Pelodiscus sinensis: one gene and its partners. The main gene of each other region encodes a partner of the protein of the gene in region 2 in a complex. Links are inferred from orthologs where the notes say so. Each region holds a gene or a part of one and is shown on either strand. Other genes may lie near its edges.

Region 1 (7,764 bases), on a different chromosome or scaffold from region 2:
TCAAATGCTAGAAGATCGACCTTTGGAGGGTCAATCTTCTCCGTAATATACATAACCCCAGGGGGCTAAGGACTTTTTCAGCCTTGCCGATAAAGAGGTAACAAGAACCAATGTCTGGAAATTGATATCAGACAAATTTAATCTTGAAATATGGCAATTTCTAACAGTGAAGCTAATTAAGGGTTGGAACGAATGGCTTACCAGGAGAAATAGTGAATCCAAACTCTTAAAATCTTTAAAATGCAATTTTCTTTCTTAAAGACATGCTCTAATCCAGTTTCTGGGGTAAATTCTACAGGCTATGTGATCATCACAGTAGTGCCTTCTGGCCTTAGTCTATGAAATATGCACATATAATCATGGTAATTGTGCGTGTTTTTTTAGGAGTACGAGCATAGCAGACTTACCCTGCATTGCCCGGATCCTTCAAAGCAGAAGGGTGGTGGTGTGGGGGAGGGAGTGCAGGACTGAGGGAAGGGCTTTCAGGATATAGAGCGGATGGAGGAGCCTGGGACAGGCGGGTATAAGAGTGAGGTCTGGAGGGTAAGGAGGGGCTCAGGAGAGGGGGGCTTTTTTCTCCCCCAGCTGTCCCCCCACTGCCAGGGGCCTTTTTTCTCCACCTCTGGCACTGTGCTAAAGGGGGGAAAGGTTTGGGGTCAGGGGAGCTACTTTGTGTGCTAGCAGGCAAGATAGGAGAGCCCCAATCCTGCTGGTCACTTTCCTGGTGGTATAGTTGCTGCCAGTGAACACTCTGCACTGCAGCATAGCTCTTCCCTGCAGTCTCTCTGCCCCCAATGGAAACTGATATCCCTCCAAACAGCAGCCCATCCCTTTGCATTTTATGGAAAACTGTCCTTCTGCCAGGACTTCCAGTTGTCCTGGAACAACCAAACCCTGACCTTGCTTTTAAGTTAGGAGAAGAGGAAATTGTAGTTAAGAGAAGAGGAAACTTTATACAGGCAGTCCCCGACTTACGCGGATCGGACTTACGTCGGATCCGCACTTACGAACGGGGCTTTCTCGCCCCGGAGGTCGAGGTAGCAGATTGCTACCTGTGAGCTCCGGGGCGAGAAAGCCCCGTTCGTAAGCTGCTCCGGTGCCCCTGGTCTGCTGGAGACCGTCTCCAGCAGACCAGAGGCACCGGGCGGGTTCCCGCGCTTCTGAGGCTTTGCCAGAGCAGAGCCTCAGAAGCGCGGGGAACCGCCGCTGCTGCCGCTTGAGTCCCGGTGCCTGTGGTCTGCTGGGGACCGTCCCCAGCAGACCACAGGCACCGGGACTCAAGCCGCAGCCGCGGGGGGGTCCCGCACCTCTGAGACTTTGCCAGAGCAAAGCCTCAGAGGCGCGGCACCCCGCTGCCGCTGCGGCTCTGCTCCCCGTGTCCCTGGTCTGCTGGGGGGGGCACGGCTAGTGTGCCCCCCCCCAGCAGACCAGGCTTTTGTTTTGGACCCTGGAGCAGAGCAGCTGGGGCGCTGCGGATTGGTCCTGCAGCGCCCGCTCTGGGCACTACTGGACCAACCCGGCAGCACCCCAGCTGCTCTGCCCCAGGTCCTGATTCAGCCGCTGCTGGTCAGTTTCAGCAGTGGCTGAATCAGGACGCCTGGGGCAGAGCAGCTGGGGTGCTGCTGGGTTGGTCCAGTAGCGCCGAGGAGCGGTGCTACTGGAGCAACCCAGCAGCACCCCAGCTGCTCTGCCCCAGGCGTCCCCAAGTCAGCCACTGCTGAAACTGACCAGCGCTGACTACAGGAAGCCGGAGGAAGAGTTGCTCTGCCCCAGGCTTCCTGGAATCAGCACTGATCAGTTTCAGCAGCAGCTGACTTGGGGAAGCTTGGGGTTCTTAAGTTGAATCTGTATGTAAGTCAGAACTGGCGGTCAGTTTCAGCAGCGGCTGAATCTGGACGCCAGTTCCGACTTACATACAGATTCAACTTAAGAACAAACCTACAGTCCCTATCTTGTACGTAACCCGGGGACTGCCTGTAGCCATAAAAGAGCACATCTATGTAAACAAGGTCTTTTCACTTTATACTGGTTTTGTATTAATTCTAGTAGTTCATAAATGAACAGGTGTGAAATATACATGTTTTTATTAAATAATCAATTGACTTTGCAATTCTGTGGGTTCTCTGGTATGCTCTTGTGTTTAAATAAGGTTCTGCAGAACCTTTCACACATGTTTAACTTCATGTGTGTCACTAGTTCCACTGCACTTAATGGGACTAGTATTATGCTTAAAAAAGCTAAGAAAAGCAGGTGTGTAAGTCTTTCTAGAACTGGGGACTGAGAATGGTATCCGGTCTTTTTAAGTGTCATTTCCATAGTTTTACCTTGTGGGAGTATCCCCATCTTGTTTGGTTACATTTTGCATGCAAGAACCTATTTGTGGGCTTGGAAGGATTAGATTTTTTTGGCAAATGTTGATGTCACAGAACATACACAAACTGACACATTTCCTTCCATGATGGTTGATATTTACAGATAGGCAAAGTAAGAAAAATTCGGTTGGAGAACATTCTAGGATTGAATTGAAAGATATAGTTTTTACTTGGCATGTGTTGATATATTCTGTTGACCACCTGCGTTGTAATGGTTATAAAACCATAACTTTTTGACTCTTAACTGTTGTCATTAAATAACTAGTGTCTGGTCGCTCCCTAACTTCTCACAACAAAGAAAACTGAAACTGATTAAAAACCCAAACGCTTAAAAATATGAAATGGTTGTAAAAACTCAAATGTTGCCAAGCCCCCCTCTTTGAGATCGGTGCCTCAGCGAAGCCGGTGGGTTGACCGGAGAACAGTTTCAAGAGCAAAGATGGGTATTTCCAAAGGGTTTTCCCCTAACACCGGCTCATCATCTCCCCCGCTCCCGCATCCCTTGCCTGTGCAAAGCTCCAGCCTCCTCCAGTGCGCGGTTCCCGACCTCCCCCTGCCCAACCTCCACGAGGCGCCCTGTCCCCCTCGCAAGCGCGGCGACCCCCACACCTACCGCCAGGAGCAGCAGCGCAGCGAGGCACCCCATGGCCAGCGGGGCAGGCGGTCCCGGGAACTCCCGCTGATGTGATCCGCGGCGGCGCTGCCTCCCAGCTTATAAAGCCGGCTGGGGGAGCAGCCGGGGCGGCCACGTGCCGCCCCCTCCCTTCCACTGCAGGGCCCGGGCGGGCGATGCAGAGGCTCCCCAGGCCGGCTGGGGGGAGCTGTCCGCCGCCTTGCAAGTCGCTACTGGAGCTGCAGGCAGACCCGCCCCCCTAGGGGTGGGGGGCACCTTGCGAGTCCGGTCCGCGCAGACGGTGTAGGAGCGTGTGGGTGGCGGGCGCGCGATTTGGGGGCACCCTCCTCCCTCACCCCCTTTCCCTGGAGGCTGCAGGGCTGCGTTGTAGGGCGCCCCGCGGCGTGAGCCTGTCCCCTCACTTCTCACCAAAGCGTGTGGCTTGGGGGGGGGGGCTCAGACTGAGGAGGGGGGGGAGAGCTCTGCCCCCAAAGCAAACTGTGGCCATGCCCGTGGCAACCCGAGGCTCGGCTCAAGGGAGGTGGTACCGTTCAATATAGGACCATGCGCTGTCCGCTCTGCTGGGCTCCACCTGGGTTATGCTTTAGGAGAACCACATGCTGACTTCCTGGGCTGGGCGGGAGGGGATGGATAAATAGTGGTATCTCTTCAGCACTACCCACCTGTTGTAGTAAAATGAGACCCCCTGGGTGAGGGAATTAGAGGTGCTACTTCATCTGGTTTGAAGTGGTTCCCATCAGATACAGGACTTAGAGTTTGGTTCAATGGTTCTCAGCACCCCGCTACACAAATTGTTCCAGCCTTGTGCATGTCTCTGATATCATCTTTCTTACTGCTGCAATAAAATAATTAACAATGTTGACACTGAAATCATCACTAGGCCTCTGAGTAACAACTTCCCTGGAAGAATGGGGCAGTTTGCCCCACCCCGTGGTTCCAGGCTCCTACAAACTCAACTAGCTGGTCTCCACATTTTCAGTTAAGGTCACATTTCTGCGGTTTTCTTCACAACCATGACAACTGGAGATTTCTTTTCAGAAGTACAAAATCTGAGAAGCTGGAGAACAACACAATATCTACAGAAAAGTGGAGTGCAGTGCCCAGGCTGCTACCGGCTAGTTTCAAGGGCACTCAGTGCCTTGCAGGAAAGAGAGGTTGCCCATAGGGTGTGTCTAGACTACAGGGATTTTTCGAAAAAAGTAGCCTTTTTTCAAAAAATATTTACCTGTGTCTAGACTGCTGCCGCGTTCTGTCGACAGTAAATCGAAAAAACTCGGCAGTTTTGTTGATGGCAGTAAACCTCATTTTATGAGAAATAATGCTATTTTCAACAGAGATCTGTCAAAAAAAGGTATGTGTGGATGTGGAAAAGGTTTTTTTCTTTTTTTTTTTAAATGCTTCCAGGAAGAAGCCCTGGTGGACACCCCTGCCAGACCTTTCACCGCCATTGTTCCTGCCTGTAGCATCTTTTAAAGGCACAGGCGCCCAGGAGTAGCATTGTGGCAGCAAGCCAGCTCCAACCAGGATCCTGACTTCTCGGCTCTTGCTGGAAGGCACACTCAGAGCCATGTCCCAGGGACAAGTTCCCCAAAGCCCTCCTGACCCTTCCAGGGACACATCCCCGCACCAAGCCAAGGGCACCAAATGCCAGGCACCCTCCTAGTCTGCGCCTGAGATCAAAGCCCTCTTGGAGTTCTGGTTGGAAGAGCAGGGAAGTCCTTAGCCATAGGCAGAGTAGGCAGTTGCCTAGGACACCAGTATTTCTGGGGCATCACTCTGTAGGGATGGACTGGAAGCAGTGGAGCATTTATAAGCAGGGGCTAAACTACTGCTTGCTATCAGACAGCTAAAAGGAGACAGCTGCCCTGTGGGTGAGTGTGCTCACTCCAATTGTTTAGCTCTGCAAGATAATTAACTGTTAACTGTTGACTTGATATGTAAATACAGCTCATGCCAGGAGGGGGAGGGAATACAAGGTGTGGCTATGTAAATCCAATTCAGCCAGGCCTGATGGACGATCAGTGTTGGAATGGAATGTGGTGTATTGTAACTAATTTGGGGATGTTGTGGGGGTCACAAATCATGCCAGCCATAAATGTGGAAACTGTAAAATATGACACCAGTGTTTGCAGGAGAGACACCCTCATTGTAAGAGGTCTCAGAGGAACAAGCCTCCCCTCTGCCATAGTTGAGTGAACTGAGTTGGGCTGGTGGGTGTAAGTAAGTGAGGAGTCTTTTTGCTAGTCTAGTAGAAGCTAGAATCATTGCAAGAGGAGTAACGGTAGTTTGAATTAGGAGTTTTAATTCAAACTACCTAGTCTGTGCTGCATGTAGCTGCGGGTAGGTACTTTGAACTAGGGGGCATTTAAAAATGGTGGCACCAGGGAACATGCAAATAAAGCCCAGGATATTTAAATTCCGGGCTTCATTTGCAAGTTCGAATGCCTACATTAGCCACCCTAGTTCGAACTAGGGTAGCAGTATAGACATACCCTAAGGGAAGCATTTTACATTGTTAACAAAAAGTTTATTTTTCTTTACAAAACAGTGATATAGGTTTTGTAACATACAACAGTGCAATAAACTGTAAGCATTTTGTCAAGCACACCTATCTCTGTTCTCTGTGTGAATGTGTACAACGGGGGGCAGAGATAGGTTTTGGGGGGAAGGCACTGGGGGCATGGGGCACACCCACATTTGGAAGGCCCTTGGGAAACTCATCGGGCTCCTTGGGAGAATCTCTCCGTCAGGGCTTCCCAAATACACAATCCCAATTGGTGGGCTTGGAGGATGGCAGCTGTCCAGGGCTGCTCAAACAGCCTCCCCTCCACATCAGCCCATGTCCCCCACACAGGGAGGAAGGCCTCCCCTTTCCTCTCCCCCAGGTTGTGCAGCACACAACAGGCAGCAATCACTTTGGGGATGTTGCGTTCACCCATGTCCAGCCGAGTGAGCAGGCATCTAAACCTGCCCTTCAGATGGCCAAAGGCGCACTTTACCTGGAAGCGAGTCTGATTCAGGTGGGCGTTAAACAGTTCCCTGCTCGAATCCAGGTGCCCAGTGAACAGCTTCGTGAGCCAGGGCATAAGGGGGTACTCCACATCGGCCACGATGGACATAGGCATCTGCACATTCCCGACTGCAAAGTTTTGCTCTGGAAAGAATGTCCCAGCCTGCGGTACAGGTATGAGTTCTGGAAGATGCAGGCATTGTGTGCCTGGCCTGACCACCTGACACAAACATCTGTGAATTGTCCCCGGTGACCAACCAGGGCCTGCAGCACCATGGAAAAGTAGCCGTTTCTGTTAATATACTGCGCTGCACAATGGGGAAGTGCGCGGATCAGGATGTGAGTCCCATTGAGTGCTCCACCGCAGTTCAGAAATCCTAGCCCTGCAAATCCAGCCACAATGGTATCCAGGTCTCCAAGGCGGACAGTCCTTGACGCAGCTCCGAATTGATGGCCGTCACCACCTGCAGAAAGGGACAAATAGAAACACATATAAGAGGAAATTAGAGGAGTTGCCTGAGCTGATGAGAGGTGCTCCCTCACCCCTCCCCGATCCCAAGAGCACCCCCTCAGGCAACCCTCCTTCCCCACCCCCCCCCCCACCACAGCAGTGAGAGGCCAGGAGGGCTTCTACCATTCCCACCCCATTCCCTCTGCCCGGTCCTGACTGTCCCCCTTATCCACCTCCCCCACTATGGACTGTCCCTAGAGAGTGACTTACCTCCATCAAGACGGCCCCAACAGTAGACCTCCCCACACCAAACTGGTGTTCCGAGCGGTAGCTGTCGGGGGTGGCCAGCTTCCATAGAGCAATAGCGACACACTTCTCCAGGGGGATGGCAGGTCGCAAGTGGGTGTCCTGACATTGTAGGGCAGGGGTGAGCCAGGCACACAGCTCCTGGAACATGCACTTCCGCATATGGCAGTTTCAGAGCCAAGCCTTGTCGTCCCCCTGCTCCCTAACAAGATGGTCCCACCAGTCTGAACTGGTGTCCAGCCTTCAAACTCCCCTCTCCAGGAATAAGTTAGGTGGTAAGGACAGTGGGGCTGCAGTTTGAGTGAAGGGCTCAAAGCTGGGCTCTGAATCCAGCTGTGCCATGAACATGATGATGGTCTCATGAAGATGCAGCAGAACTTCCAGCATCACAGTGTGGGGCCATCGCCTGCCCAGGGGCAGCTCCAGCTCCATGGCAAAAAAATGATTGAAAGCACAAAAACCAACCAGGAAACCAAATGCTATGGTGTCCCACAAAGCAGGGCACTCCAAGCAAGCACTGCAGAAGCTTTGCTGTCCCTCTAGGAGGTAGGCAAGCCAGCTGCAGGAGCAGAGGAATGGCTGTTCAGGAGGATCCCTTAAAGCACGCGTCTCTGCAAAGAGCATGCTGCAGGACCCGGAAATAAAGGCTACCCTCATGTCCTGGCAGAAATGCTTCCAGGTGCCCTTTTTTCGACAGAGCGTACAGGCAGTCTGGACGCTCTCTCTCGAAAAAGCGGATCGATTTTTCAATCTGCTTAGTGCAGTCTAAACGCTCTTTTTTGAAAGAAGCTTTTTCAAAAGATACTTTCTAAAAAGCCTCTGTCGAAAGAGGCTTGTAGTCTAGATGTACCCATAGTGTCTAAGGCATTGTCTGCATATAGGTGTAAAAGACTCTCTTTGAAAATTATGCACGTTTGAAGAGACTATTGTGAAAGCTAATAAATTATTTTTGTAGATGACATAAGGGGTCAGGACTTATATGAACAAAACT
Region 2 (7,139 bases):
GAGAGGGGAGTGAATAGATGCATTGCTAACTGACAAAGAGTGCTGCCAATGAACACAGGAAAAAAAATATCCTGCTGCACCCAGCACCCCTGAGAGCAGACTGCTGGGGGATTTTCCTTAACTGGAGACATTTCAATGTCACTTACTGAGCCAGAGAGAAAAGGGGATTCGTTTCTTAAAGAAAAGGCTGCTACATTACCAGGACTCTTTGGGGGAGGGAGAGGGGGGCCTGGGCTGGGGGCAGGGGTATTGATGGACTCCACCCAGCAGTTTTGACCCTCCCTAGAGTCACAGTTCCTTCCCTGCAAGAACAAAGGAGGAGGAAAATTAGATAACAGTTTTAAGATTTCATCTGCCCAAGGTAGATCTAGTCTGTGCGCGCGCACACGCACACTCCACAGGAGAAAATCTTAGAAAAGCATCACTGAAAAGATTTACAGCACATAACCCTGGGGCCAGAATTATCCCTCCTCCCAAGGAAAGGCCTGCACGCCCAAAATACTCTCTGCTTCCAAAACATATATAAGCAACTTCCCTTACTCTAAACACAAATGAAATTATGATGCAGGAAAAGAGAGCAGGATACTAGTTGCAACACCGGCCACCCCTTACTCCAATATTAAATACCTGTCTAAAGAGAGAGACATTCTCTATCCTGCTCCATGTGCCAACTAGAAGATTGGCACAGAAAGGTCACTTGTTTTGTTGGGGTGTGGAAAGAGGCTGAGGGGTCAAGGTTACACGGTTCACTCAAAGCCCAGATACTTCAAAGGTATACTTCAGGACTTAGACTTCAGGACTTAGACCTCAGTACGTGTATCAGCAGCACAAGACTGATCATAGGAAAAGGGTTTTGCAATTAGCTTTGGGTGTGGGAAGTACTTCTTTCACAGTAATAGCACCACTCAAGGCCACCCAGAGACAAGTCATTCCTAATCTACTTGTAGAAGTGTTTTTGTGTTCTTTCCCCAGCTGTCAGAGCACTTCCTCTGGGCTCCCTGGCTGTGAAAGGCTACTAAAGCCAATCATACAAATGGTTCAAACCAGCTACCCTCTTTCACAAACCCTTTATATCCAGATATGGAAGGAGTGGGGGGAAGAATAATATGTGGGGTACTAAATAGAACACCAGCCATCACTGAAACCCACAGACCCTTTCCAAACCATCCTCTAACCATTCAAAATAGAACACCCTCTTTTCTTTCTCTACTGCATCCAAGACCAAACCTCAGGTGGAGGCTGGGGGGGGAGGGAACACCATACAGGTACTTAGATATAGAATATGGATCTGTACATTTCCAGAAACTAGACTGCTTACTGTTTCTCTCACCACAAAAGTTTCCCCAGATCTCTGGCCACAATAATCTTAAGTCTAACATAAGACATCAGAAGGTCTTCACAGCAAAGTGAGAGAAAGAGAAGAGAAAGTATGTTTTTAACATATTTAGTAGACAGTGCAGACTTCCTATAATAATTGTAAACAGCAGCACAGACTGTTTCTCTGCCCCAGTTTGTTGCAATTAAATACTACACTAATTCCAGGCTTTTTGTATTTGAATGGAGGCATTAATTCTACAGATGACAACTCAGGACTAGAAACTAGCTGCATGTCCTAGTTCCCAATGAGCTGGCTACAGAAGTACATTTTTAGCAGTATCTAAAAGCCTCAAACCTCCACACACTTCCAAGAGACTGAACGCAAGAGCTCAAGGAAAGTTACAGAGAAACAATTATTTAAAAAAAAATACAATCTGTTAGACTGAGTTCCTAAAGTAACTGCTTCAAAATAAGTTTGCTTAAAGCCTCTCTTAAAGTTTGCCTTCTTCCCCATTACGTGTTAAAATAAGCCACGGCTTAGGTGGAGAGTGCTGACCAGGTTTTGATTGCAAGTCTTAGCCTCTGCTAAGTGTGGCAGTCATTCCACACCCATTTCAAGTTGTTGATTATAATTTAGAACCCGTGAAAAATATCCTTTCCCCCTCTCCCCCCGCTCAAGCCTTTTTTAACTCCACCTAAAGATTAAGAGGTTATAACTCAACATGGATTCTCTTTAGAAGGCTAAGAGGAGAAAGGCCCGCACCCAACTGCACCTGGGGGAAAAAATGGGATCCACCCAAGCAGAAAGTGTGGATTTTAGACATGGAAAGAATGGACCGCAACACTCCCAACAAGAACACCACTTAATAAAAAACACTTGATCAACTCCACAACCTTCCTACTGCAGCTCAGTTTTCCCAAAGTTTTAAAGAAAACATATTAAAGGGTGCAAATAAAACCAAGAGCCCACTTCGCAAACTGGATCACATTCCTCCCCCAGCCTGCTCAGAAGACACCACAAAAAACAACAGCTCCCCAGCAATTCAACCCAGGCAGAGTTGTTAGCTTGCAGTACAAAAGGAGCAAAAATCCAAAGTGAACAACAGGCGTTAAAACAAGAGATGAGATTTTTTTTTTAAAGCAACAAAAAAAACCAACATGATTCTTACCCTGGCTTTCTCCCTTCTCAGGGGCTGCGCTGGCGAAATCCAGGAGTTTGTTTCTCCACCTTGTGAGGTTTTTTTTTTTTTTTTTTTTTTTTTGAGTACCAGGGGGGGAAGAAATAAAAGCAAAATAAATTTTAAAAGTTGTCAGTGCGGCTGTTCCTCTGCCTTATAACTTCCCTTCTAATCTCTCAGGGTGACAATATGCCAGTCTCCAACAAAAATTCCCCTTGGGCGAGAGCTTTTTTTTGGGGAGGGGGGGTCGCTTTGCAAACACACAAAACTCTATGGTGGACTTCTCCAACAAATCTCTAAAGGAAACGCAAGAAGCAAAACCCGGCCAAAATGTGTTTTAAAAAAAGAAAACCAATAAATGTAGTGATTTTTTCTCCACCTCTTTCTCTTCTGGGATCCTTCCTGGCTTTTCCCCCCTCGCCTCCTCTTTCAGATCCAACACCTAAAATGGAAGTTGCACCCGACCCAGCCAAAGACAAGCTGACGGGGGTGATGGTAACAAACTGAGCTTTCCAAGCCCAACGCCCAACCCCTCTTTCCCTAAGTGATGTCAGCGTCTACGAAGCTCCAATGGGAAGCAGGCATCAATAAGGGACCCGGCATTATCCAATAGGAAACTTTATTGTAGGGAATAGAAAAAAGAAAAGAAAAAGGGAGCAAAACCAACAAAAGGAGGAGGGCAGAAAATAACTTTTGGGGGTGGGGGAGGAAAGAAAATAAAAATATATTACAAAAATCAGTTGCAAGGAAGGAGGTTAAAACAGGCTTGGCATGATGATAAATGTGTTGATATGATCTGCAATACACAGTCCAGTCTCTTTTTATCGTTTGTGTTTCTTTCTCCCACTCATCTCCTCTGCCTGTTTGCAAATGAGAATAAATAACTTCATTTTTATATATCGCCTGTGCTATTTATGTGTAAATATATTTTCATCTTTGTAAGTATCACCTGAAAAGGAGGGAAAACAATGGTACAAAAAGATGGGTGGGAAGGTGTTTGGATCTGGGGAGAACTGAGGATTTAAAATTCAACCTTGAGTCTATTGTTTTTGTTTTAATTATGTGAGCCTAGATTGTGTGAGCCTAGATTGTGTGATCAGCTCTTGTTTGGCTTTTGCTGGTGGCAATTAAGAAACTGAATTTAAAAATCTAGAGTGGATAAGGAATTTACTTCACTCCTTTTCCTTTCATATCAGTGAAGAAAATAGCTATTTTACTTTGCATTACTAATTTAATCCAATTCACAGTTTATAGATTCCAGACCATCAATTAAGAGAGAGACAGAGACAAAAGTTCTAACAAGTTTTCTTTCATCATAGCCCTAAAAGTTGTTTATTCTGATTATATTTGCAAATAAGTGTCAAACTGGAAGGTACATAGTGCAATGTGGTGCACCAGATTAAGCGGGGGATTTGCTGGCAGGGGGGCATTACCTAGATATTTCTATAAAGTTTTTTGAAGAGTACAGGATCTTTTGAAAAAGGGTTTTATTTTCAAAAGATCCCTGTTTAAACACTTGTTTTTCTTTCAAAAAGCCCATTTAAAAAAAAAAATGTGGCCGCCATTATGCAAATGAAGCGTGGGAAATTTAAATCCTGGCTTCATTTGCAATTTCGAAGTGTCTAACTTACATCCCTTTTTCGAGAAAAGGGATGTAATCTAGACACAGCTTCAGGGTGCAGTACAAGGAATGGAAGGGGAGAAAGAGGGTCAGGTTTCAGGAGTAACTATTAGTTTGGTGTGACAGCAGGTGCAATACTAGACCGAGCTGCTACCAAACACAAGCCCTTTAACACTCGTTGTTGGCCTCTGTCTATGTTCAACAAAGATCTCTTCACTACAGCTCTGTCAGCCTGCTGCATCATATATCGCTTATGAAACATAGGCACATCAGTGTAGACTGGCCATCTGCTACTTTTTCTCCCCTGTTCTGTGCTTAGAGCGGGTCTAAAAGACACAGTGGTGAAATCAGTGATGAACTTGGCCTACATTAGAACATTCGCCCTGCCTTGTACTGAGAGCTCAGCAGATCCTTCCTCCCAGAATCCAACAGGACCAAGAGAGGTTGCCAGTACCAAGCACAATAGCGAAGTAGACAATATGCCACTTAAATCAACAGATGATGCAAAGGGGTCTGGTATTATTTCCATTGACTTCAAGCGGAGTAGGACTAGGCACTTAAGGGAGAGTGTTGTACACAGCTTTTAAAAATCTCAGAGGGGTAGCCATGTTAGTCTGTAAGGCTACGTCTACACTGCAATGCTATTTCGGGATACTGAAGTATCCTGAAATAGCTATCTCGCGTCTTCTCAGCAAGCCTATGCGGGCTCGCTATTTCGACGTTACTGTAAACCTCATTCTATGAGGCATAAAGGACATTTCGGAATAGCACTTTAATTTGAAATTTGGCACCAAATGACGAAATAAGCTATTTTGAAATAGCATCAAAATGAGATACGCAATTTGCATAGCCGAAATTGCGTATCTTATTTCGAGTTACAGTGCTGTGTAGGTGCACCCTAACTGAAAAAACTTTAAAAACAACGAATGGTCCTGCAGCGCTTTAGAGACTATCTACATTTTTTGTTAGTCTCTAAGGCTGCGTCTAGACTGGCATGATTTTGCGCAAATACTTTTAACGGAAAAAATTTTCCGTTAAAAGTATTTGTGCAAGAGAGCGTCTATACTGGCATGTGCCTTTGCGCAAAAGATTTGCTTTTGTGCAAAAGCATTCGTGCCAGTGTAGATGCTCTCTTGCGCAAGAAAGCTCCAATGGCCATTTCAGCAATCGGGCTTTCTTGCACAAGAAATTAACGTGGCTGTCTACACTGGCCCTCTTGCGCAAGAATACTTGCGCAAGAGGGCTTATCTCTGAGCAGGAGTGTCGGAGTATTTGCGCAAGAACTGTTGATTTTGTACATTACAAAGTCAGTGTTCTTGCGCAAATACTCGTGGCCAATGTAGACAGGTGGCAAGATTTTGTGCAAAAGCATTTGCTTTTGCGCAAAATCATGCCAATCTAGATGCATCCTAAGGGTTACTGCAGGATATTTCGTTGTTTTTTAAGTACACAGCATTGAGTGTAGAGAAATAATTCAAAGGGATCTAGAGAGTCAAGAGATGGGGTAGGAAATAACAACACGTTAGCTTTGAAAACTACAGCTAGTCCAGCTGAAGACACCTGTTTCCAAAGTCTAACACTTTGTGTGGGGGAGAAACCAAGGAAGCATTACTGCTTTCAGAGACTTAGGACTGGCAGCTACTGCTTAAAGTAGACAGGAGCTGGAAGCAAAAGAAACTGGAGTGATTGGAGGCTGAGCACTTCACCACACAAAACGGGAAGGTGACAGCTTTAACTGTGGGTCTGAGTGGAACCACATCTGGAATATTGGAACTAATTCTTGGATCCACAGCACAAAGGGGCTGTAATGCTGGATTAAATAGCTGCCTAGGAATTTCCCAAGTCCAGGGGGAAACCCAAGTGATGTAGAGTCTACATGGCTCAATTCACACCCTACCCCTACTCCCAGCTGGCCTCAGAATCTAGAAACCATAAAGATGACATAAACCCTCTTTGCTGCCCCCCGCCCCTACTCAGGTGAACGTGTTCAGTTCTGAGTACCATGTCACCAGAAAGTTATTGACAAGACAGAGGGAGATGAGGAATGAACAGCAGATTGATTTATGGGGAAAGATTAAAAGAGGTAAATATGTGTATAGCTTGGTCAAGCAAGGAGTACATGATAACAATAACAGCCTGCAAATATTTGAAGAGAGTAATCCCCAGTGAGGGAGAGAAAGAGGCTGGTACACAAGGGAGACAGCAAAGAGGAATGGGATGATATTTTAAAAAGGAAGCAGTTAGGACAATTATCTGGAAAAACCTCCCTACTGTGAGGTTTGATCTGCTGCAGATTCACAATGGGCACGTCTACACTGTGGCACTATTTCAGGATACTTCCAGTATCCTGAAATAGCTATTTTGCGTCTTGACAGCACGCCCATTATTTCAAAATTGCTTTTGAAATAATATTTTCAAATAGCTCACTATTCTGACATCCCTGTAAACCTCGTTCCATGAGGATTAAGAGACATTTTGGAATAGCGGTTTATTTCTAAATTTGACGTGAAGACAGTGTCAAATTACAAAATAAGCTATTTCAAAATACACTCGAAAAAAGCTACGCAATTTGTGGAACTCAAATTGCATAGCTTATTATGAGCACAAGTGCAGTGTAGACATACCCAAAGGTATTTAGGCACCTAACTTTCATGAGGATCTGTGCCTTCAAGCCTGTGAATTCCTCCCCATCCCACTAAAGAGGAGAGTTAAGAACATCCTTGTCCTCCTCCTTTTCTTCCAGCACTGAATCAAAGGGCCAACAAGAGGGACTGCAGCAGGAGCATGCAGGAAACAGCACTTCAGGGACTGCTCTAGTTCAGCTCTCCTATGCAGTGCTATCCACCCTGTCCATCTTCCTTGGCAGGAGGCTCCTTCACTTCACTTCCAATTTCTTATGCGGGGAGAAAGAGATAATAAATTATTCTCCCCCTCCAACCTGAATTATGGGTCCTACTCAAGGGCAGAGAGACCTTGCACCTCCAATTTACTCTAAATCCCTTGATGAGGGGGGTGAGAGTAAG
Region 3 (7,413 bases), on a different chromosome or scaffold from region 2:
CAAAATGGTCGGCCCTCACGCTTGTTCACTTCATCAAATCTGGCCCTCTTTGAAAAAAAGTTTGGGCACCCCTGCCTTAAGCAAATAACTTTTCAAGTTCAGTGGAATAAGCATTTGGGGATTTCCAAGAAAGGCATTGTATTACAAGAGAAAAGGACACAAACATTCCAGTTTCACGTTAGCAACACAGTAAAAGTCAGCCTGCCATATTCTATTTGATGTCTAGTTAATTCAGAAGATGTAGGAATCTCAATTGAGTATCCAACACTACTCTATTGATGATTTAACAAGCATTTGCACAGGGGACCATAAAATGCTCTGTCCTCACCCGAGGCTTATCTTAATATCTATGGATTGCTCAGTTTCATTACAGATGACAAGTAACATTTCCAATTAATTCTTTGCAGGAGAAAGGAATTTATGAAGCCACCCACCTCCACTGTCTGACAACAGGATCTAATTTCAATTCATGTTAAAATTCCACTTAAATATATTTCCAGTTTAAATACTGCCATTGTTGATTCTCTTGTAAAAGCTATTTCTCAATTAGTTGCAAGGAGGCACTCAAGTAGTTGATCTATGCAGAAGATTTGTTTAAATCTCTTATCCTCCAATTACTTGTTATTACTTCATTCAGAGCAATTACCATGGAACTCCTCTGCATGAAGAAACTGCATGGCAAACAACATCTCAAACTTCACAGGAAGAAACCAAATGTGAAGCTACTAATTAATTGGTTTACTTTTTAAGACCTCAAGAAGCTTAAAAGTTTTATATTAAACATAAAAATATTTTGTTGACTATTTTAGTTAGTGTGAAGATAAGAGTTCTAATTCTAACTCTGTCCACCTTAGATAAACATTTACTCTGCTTCAGATTCCTATTAGAATTGGTAGAAAAATAAAGCCATTTTCATGGAAAAGCTGAGATGTTCAAAACTGACCTTTTTAACTACAAACTTTTGGGGGGGGTGCAGAAAAACTCTGTTTTGGAAACTTGGGGGGTTTGTTTATATTTTAAAGCAAAATGGGCACAGTCATTCTTAAGCCACATATATAAAGCATTTTCAAAATAGGCTTTTTTTTAAACATCAGGCTTTGTTCAAAGAGGTAGCTAGCTCATTATGTATTTACAATATACTAATACTTAGAGATCAATCAAATTGCAGGCCTATTGTACTAGTCATTGTACAGACAGAGGAAACAGTCTCTGACCCCAAAAGCTTACAATCCAAGAGGCAAAATAAAACAGGTAAGAGAAATGTTCAAGCACAGTGGTAGAGGACAGGCGGAGAGGAAGAGTCTTGGGAAATAGACAATAAATGCACAGTTCTTAGGCAAGGCAAGGTTTGTAATTACATATCACTGCCCACCTAGAAATTTTCAGGCTGTGGTTTTCAGTATCTGCACAGGTATGTTTTGAGGAATGACAGAGGAAAATATAGTGACTTTACAAGTTTGGACAGGAAGGTTTGCTACTCCTCATGCACAAGGAGGAGATAGTACCACAAGAATTCAATTAAGCCTAGCATTAGTTAAGTAAAGATAGGGAACAAATTAGAAGGATTGTCAATGTACGTTTGTCTATGATGAGTTTGGAGAAGGAGAAGCCAATGAAGGGACTTAAGAATGGAATGGGGTGGGGAAGAAATGACAATCAAGCCTAGCTCCTTATCTTTGCTCCTGCATTAAATGCAGACAGTTTGCAAGCATCAAGGCCAGACAAGATTAGTGCAGTAGTCAAGTGATATAGGAGGATCCTGACAGCATGTGACCAGTAGTTCATAGAAGTAAATGACCAGCACTACTGACCTGAAACAGAAGTGTCCAGAGGGAATCACCAAGCAACTGTACAGATATTGCATAAGTCACTTAGGAAGAGAAATACATTTTGTTGTAGGTTCCTTACACTCTACCTCCACCCAGAACTGGTTCTGAAACTTTACTATAGTATGTATATTACTGGGGTTCTCGTGTAACACTCTACCTCCACCCAGAACTGGTTCTGAAACTCTACTATAATATGTATATTACTGGGGTTCTCGTGTAACACTCTACCTCCACCCAGAACTGGTTCTGAAACTTTACTATAATATGTATATTACTGGGGTTCTCGTGTATTTTTCTGCTTTTGCAAGGCAAAGGTAGACTACACAAGCTAGACATACTTAAAGTGAAAACCCATCCAGCGACACAGCAACACTCCTTTGCAAAGCAGAGTGAGTTTTCAGGCCCTGGGTACGTACCACTTGCTCTCGTTCTTCACTGCAGAGTCCAGAAAAGCCACTTCAGTGTCACAAGACAAGAGCAATGTGTCGGTTTTGGCATGAGGCCTACGTGACAATTAAGCGACTGCGCTAAGGGAAGCGCTGTGCTGGTCTGGCCGGCTACAGGCCTCCCGTTGCCCAGTCCAGCCACGCACCTTCCGCGCCCCACCGACGCCGCTGGGCAGAGCCCCCCCGCAGACGGCGGGGAGGACGCCACCGCGTGCCCCTCGGAGCGGGGGGCTACGGGCGGGCCGCAGGTCCCACATTCAGCCGCGCTGTGCACGGATGCGGAGCCCCCCCCATGAGGCGGGGCCCGCGAGGGGGACACGGCGCCCGCCCGCGTCTGGAAACTTTTCCGCGGCTCCTGTTACCTGCAGCGGCTCGAGCAACAATCGCTGAGGGGCCGGGCGGGAAACGCCCTTGGGGCCCTCCCGCGGGGGGGGGCTCACTGCGGGGCCCCTCCCCCCAGGCCGAACAAAGCCGGGGCGGGGGCTGAGGCGGCGGCTCCCCCCCCCGCTGTGAGGAGCGGGCCGCTTCGCGCCAGACCCGGGCGGCTCCAGGGGCCCCGCTGGCGGGGGGCGGGGGGGGAGTTCCCCACTCGGCCGGGAAGTTACCTGCGGGTCCCGGAGGCGCCGCTGGAGCCGGGGTCGGAGCCGCCTCAGCCGCTTTGTCTCTGCGCCGCGCCCGTCCCGGCCGGAGAGGAGGAAATGGGCCCTTCCGGGCACCTCCCCTTACGGCCCGGCCGGCTCTTCCGGGCACCTCCCCCGGCAGCTCGCCCGGCTCTTCCCGGGACCGCCCGCCCCGCGCAGGTGAGAGGCTGGGAGCTCGTCCCACGCGCGGCGGGCGGAGCGGCCGGGGTGGGAACAGCGCGCAGGGGGTGAGTCAGAGTTTCAGGTGAGAGGAAGGTGCCTGCGCGGCTGGCGCTGGGGCGGCCTGGGGGGCAGGGGCGTGGAGTGGTAGGGATGGAAATAAGGGGGCAGAGGGCGAGGGGGCAGGGAGTGGGGTGAGATGGGGGCAGAGAGGGATGATGGGGCAGAGGGCTGGGGGGCAGGGAGTGGAGTGAGATGGGGCAGATGGCTGGGGGGCAGGGAGTGGAGTGAGATGGGGCAGAGGGCTGGGGGGCAGAGAGGGATGATGGGGGCAGATGGCTGGGGGGCAGTGAGTGGGGTGAGATGGGGGGGCAGATGGCTGGGGGCAGACAGGGATGATGGGGCAGAGAACTGGGGGGGCAGGGAGTGGGGTGAGATGGGGGCAGATGGCTGGGGGGGCAGTGAGTGGGGTGAGATGGGGGGCAGTGGACCTGGCTCCATGGCACAGGAAGTTCAAGCTATTAATAGGGTCTTCCCTATGGGAATAAGGTGCATCCTGGTGGCTGCAGAGGGTGTGGCTAGAGGAGGCAGAATGAGACAGGACAGCTCCAAGAGTCAATGTTCAGGTCTAGATTTCAAGTCCCAAGGCAGTGAGGTTAGGCCAGGGGCTCTCATTGTGCATTACACAGTAAACTCTTTCTGACAACAAAAATGATGACATGTTCCCACGATGGTGAACCAAAGCCTGAGCTTTCCTGAACGGGGCGGGGAAAGGAGAAACCAAAGCCAAAGTCCTGCTGCTCCAGTGCGGGGTGGGGAGAGGTGAAGCCCAAGAGCTTCAGCCGCTCGCAGGGGGGCTGTAACCTGAGCCTTGCCATCCAGGGCTAAAGCCTTCAGTCTTCTCCTTTATCCCTGGGCCACAGCAAATCTAACATCAATCTTGGTGACCCCATTAAAATGGAGTTGCAGCCCATTTTGGGGTCCCAACCCACAGTCTGAGAACCACTGGGCTAGGCATTGGCTCTGGGATTTGGGTCAGCATTTCACAGACTGATGCCCAGTTATGAAGTTTGGATCAAATCTGGGTTCAGATTTCAGCCTCTCGTCTGGTGAAGGGGTTTAGATCTGGCATTTGACCTAGTCCAATGTCAGGCACCAGAGGAGAAATTCAAATCTGGACCTAATTCCGTAAGGGGGGGGTCCAAAATCTACCACCCCACTACTATAATGATGAGCAGTGCTTAGATAGATAAACCTATCCATAACACTTGCACTCCATATCTCCTCTGAACCAGAATCACTGGAGATTACTCAAACCTAACTACATTGGACTATTGAACAAACAGGTCATACTCTCTTTCACTCTTTAACTTCAGTGGGTGAAGAAAACTTAGGGCTCCATTTCACTTTCCTATCAAAGGCGTGTGTGATAGTATCATCTGTTTCACCTAAACCGCTGTTCCTGTTTTGGGTGCTGTGGTTTCACACCACACTTCCTAGAGTTTCACATATAAATAAAGCTAGCCTCAGTCAAAATCTGTCTTACTGTACTTGCTTTCATAAGAGCATTAGGCAAAAGGGTGCAACACTCACCTGTGATCTCAGTTCATGCGGTTTTGGGTTCAGGCCCAACGCTACTTCTGAGTGAAGTTTCCAGAAAACTTGGGTTGCTTTAAGATTTCACAGGGGCAAAGAGGGAAATGCCCTGGGCAGGACCTAGTGATGCAAAAAGGCCCAAAGATCTTGCTGCGGGTACTGCAGCAGCGGAGGCAGTGAGAGCCCCAAGTCCTTTAAATCGCTGCCAGAATGAGACGCAGTGCGCTCTGTCCGGCACTATGGCTGGGAGGGAGGCACAGTGCTTTCTGGGCAGTACTGAGGGCTCCCTTCTACTTGAGGCTCCACACCTGCCTTGCCCAGGTCCTGGCGAGGCTGTTGACCCTGCCAATTTCACATCTAATGCTTGGAAAATGTACCCTTTTGCTCAGTGCTGAGACCAAAGCAGGTGCAGTAAGGCTAGTTCTTTTAAAACCCAAGGGGGAGAGAATGTAAAACCACAGGAACCAAAACCAGGAGAGGTTTAGGTGAACTTTACATACATATAATGGCTTTAGAATGGTTCAGACCAACCTGGGGTCACATTGATGTTCTAAGATCACATTGGTATTCAAAATCCACATTGGAACTTTTGGATCTGGGCAATTCTCCAGTTCCATGTTTTTTGAACCTTAACATTGTTTGATAAACATGGGCAGAGTTCTGAAGTTGTCAAAGCTTGACAGCAGACATGATTTGTGTGTTTCAAGTTTCATAATAAAAGTTTGATGTGTCTTTACTTTTTATAGTCTCTAGAACAAAAGTGGAGGGTAGCAGGTGGTGGGTGTATGTACACACACACACTCACTCTCTAAAATTAAAAAACAAATGTTGCAAACTCTTCTATTCCACACAGGTTTCATTTTTTTTCCTTTATAAAATCTAAATGTTATATATTAATATTTTAGATGGTGTTGCTTTTTTTTAAAGTTGCTGTTTTCATGCAAATATCTTAAATAAGGCAAATACTTTAAAGCTGTGTCATAAAAGGGCTGTCAAAGCTGTGATAAAGCAAACAAGGAAGATTTGAGGAAATGATGCATATTATTTTAAATGTTTCGTTGAATCAGAGCAAGAACCTTCATCAGAAGAGAACAGACTTTTAAGAACTGACAAAGTTTAAACTAACTGAGGTAGGGTTGGCAAGTTTGTGTATGAGGAGGTTTTTTTCAAAGTCTCTCACAAAGCAGCAGTGTGAGAAATTGACCCTTTCTGTGTCATATTCAGTTGGGTTTTTATTGCTTTTCATAACACATTTTGAGATGGCTTTTTATATGAATGTTTCTATAGAAAATGATTGCATTGCAATAGTGACTGAATTAAAGTAATGTTTCATATCTCAAACATGTCAGTTACTGAGTCATCTGAATCCACGCGCTATTTCTGTTTTCTGGCCGATGTCAATCAAAAACCACAGCGAGTCTTGTCAAGGAGAATATAGCTGTGCCCTGTGTGATTTTTGCAGGGGGACACACAGCATTTCTCATCCTGATGTCCGCAGGAGCCATGCTGTGGGAACAGGAAGGATTTCAGAGCAGGCACCTATCCATGCTTTGCAAGGATGAAGGTTGAAATCCCCTTAGATCATGGCCCCCCTGATATTAACAAGTCCGTGGAAGAGATAATGCACCAGGCAGAGATTTCATATTTAATCCCTTCCCATAGGTTTAACCAAGAGCAGGGAGCAGTTAGCCCCAGGACAGAGAAAGGAGAATCGTACCCATCATCCCAAAGTCCTTAATGAAAATAGACTGCATGCAGCAAGGAAACCATCCTGTCAATTTGAGTTTTTCCACTGCAGGTCCTGAGTTCAGGACTGTAACCTTGGCTGAGAGACGATTTATTAAGATAGCACGAACTGTTCATTGACAGTCCTTTAAATAAATAGGCTCTTTAACAACAGATTTTTAAGGGCTTGGGGTATTCAGCTTGCACTAAACCATTAATATTTTCAGTGTCATTGGCAGCAGGGAATCCAATCAATTATTTTTGATCTGTAGCATATTCTCAATAAAATTCAGTCTATACTTCAATGGCTTGCTCTCTTTCATTAATTCTTTTAATATTATGTCTTGGCTTCCTGCGGTGGCTTCTGCATTCAGCACTTCCCACATGCTTTGGGGACAAAATGGTGGCTAGAAATCAGCACAACATTGCAGGCAATAATCCCTTTTAGACAACTAAGGATAGAAGATTAAGTGGCAATTCTGTTGGTTCGTGTACGTATCACAAGTTTAAATATACAGCTGTCAAAGCTAAAGATATAAAAATGAAGTCACCTCGGGGAGGAGACTGGAGTTTCTGTCCTGATTAACAGTTCTCCCTAGATTATAACAACAGGGATCTCTATCACTCTGAATAAAACAGAAGGTGTTGATCAAACAAAATGCCCATATCAACAGCAAGAACTCCTAAAAGAGAAGTCATCATTAAGAGTGAAGCAATGCTTGAAACTAGTCAAGTTAAAAAAAAAAAAAACTAGCTAAAAGTTGTCTTAAATGGTACATTTGCTGCAGAGTTCTCAATGCTAAGACTTGTGGTTTTGTAATCACATTTTTTTTTCTTTTCTCTTCTCTTTGCTATATGAAAGACACTATTACATAATAGAAGTAAAATGGGCAATACAAAATGAAGTCAAAAACAAAAAAAGCCTTTCATTCTCCAGCCTCTTTCAGGTGCAGACATTGTAGGTGCGATAGCAATAAGTAAAACTTTTCTAGACCAAAATGGATTTTTAACTTACAT

The links.
Region 1: CTNND1 (region 2) and CDH26 share a complex: the UniProt entries of both Homo sapiens proteins name them as parts of the cadherin:catenin adhesion complex. The link is inferred for Pelodiscus sinensis from reciprocal best matches to the Homo sapiens genes CTNND1 and CDH26.
Region 3: CTNND1 (region 2) and CTNNA1 share a complex: the UniProt entries of both Homo sapiens proteins name them as parts of the cadherin:catenin adhesion complex. The link is inferred for Pelodiscus sinensis from reciprocal best matches to the Homo sapiens genes CTNND1 and CTNNA1.

What each region holds. Positions count from the first base shown.
Region 1 is NC_134728.1:11,396,926-11,404,689, forward strand, and holds the start of CDH26 (cadherin-like protein 26), read right to left. Parts: upstream 3,073-7,764; 5' UTR 3,019-3,072; coding exon 2,986-3,018; intron 1-2,985. UniProt on the Homo sapiens protein: Cadherins are calcium-dependent cell adhesion proteins. They preferentially interact with themselves in a homophilic manner in connecting cells; cadherins may thus contribute to the sorting of heterogeneous cell types.
Region 2 is NC_134714.1:128,674,707-128,681,845, reverse strand, and holds the start of CTNND1 (catenin delta-1), read right to left. Parts: upstream 3,021-7,139; 5' UTR 2,875-3,020; intron 2,546-2,874; 5' UTR 2,487-2,545; intron 1-2,486. UniProt on the Homo sapiens protein: Key regulator of cell-cell adhesion that associates with and regulates the cell adhesion properties of both C-, E- and N-cadherins, being critical for their surface stability.
Region 3 is NC_134727.1:3,751,232-3,758,644, forward strand, and holds the start of CTNNA1 (catenin alpha-1), read right to left. Parts: upstream 3,040-7,413; 5' UTR 2,881-3,039; intron 2,660-2,880; exon of another isoform or gene 2,638-2,659; intron 2,516-2,637; exon of another isoform or gene 2,246-2,515; intron 1-2,245. UniProt on the Homo sapiens protein: Associates with the cytoplasmic domain of a variety of cadherins. The association of catenins to cadherins produces a complex which is linked to the actin filament network, and which seems to be of primary importance for cadherins cell-adhesion properties.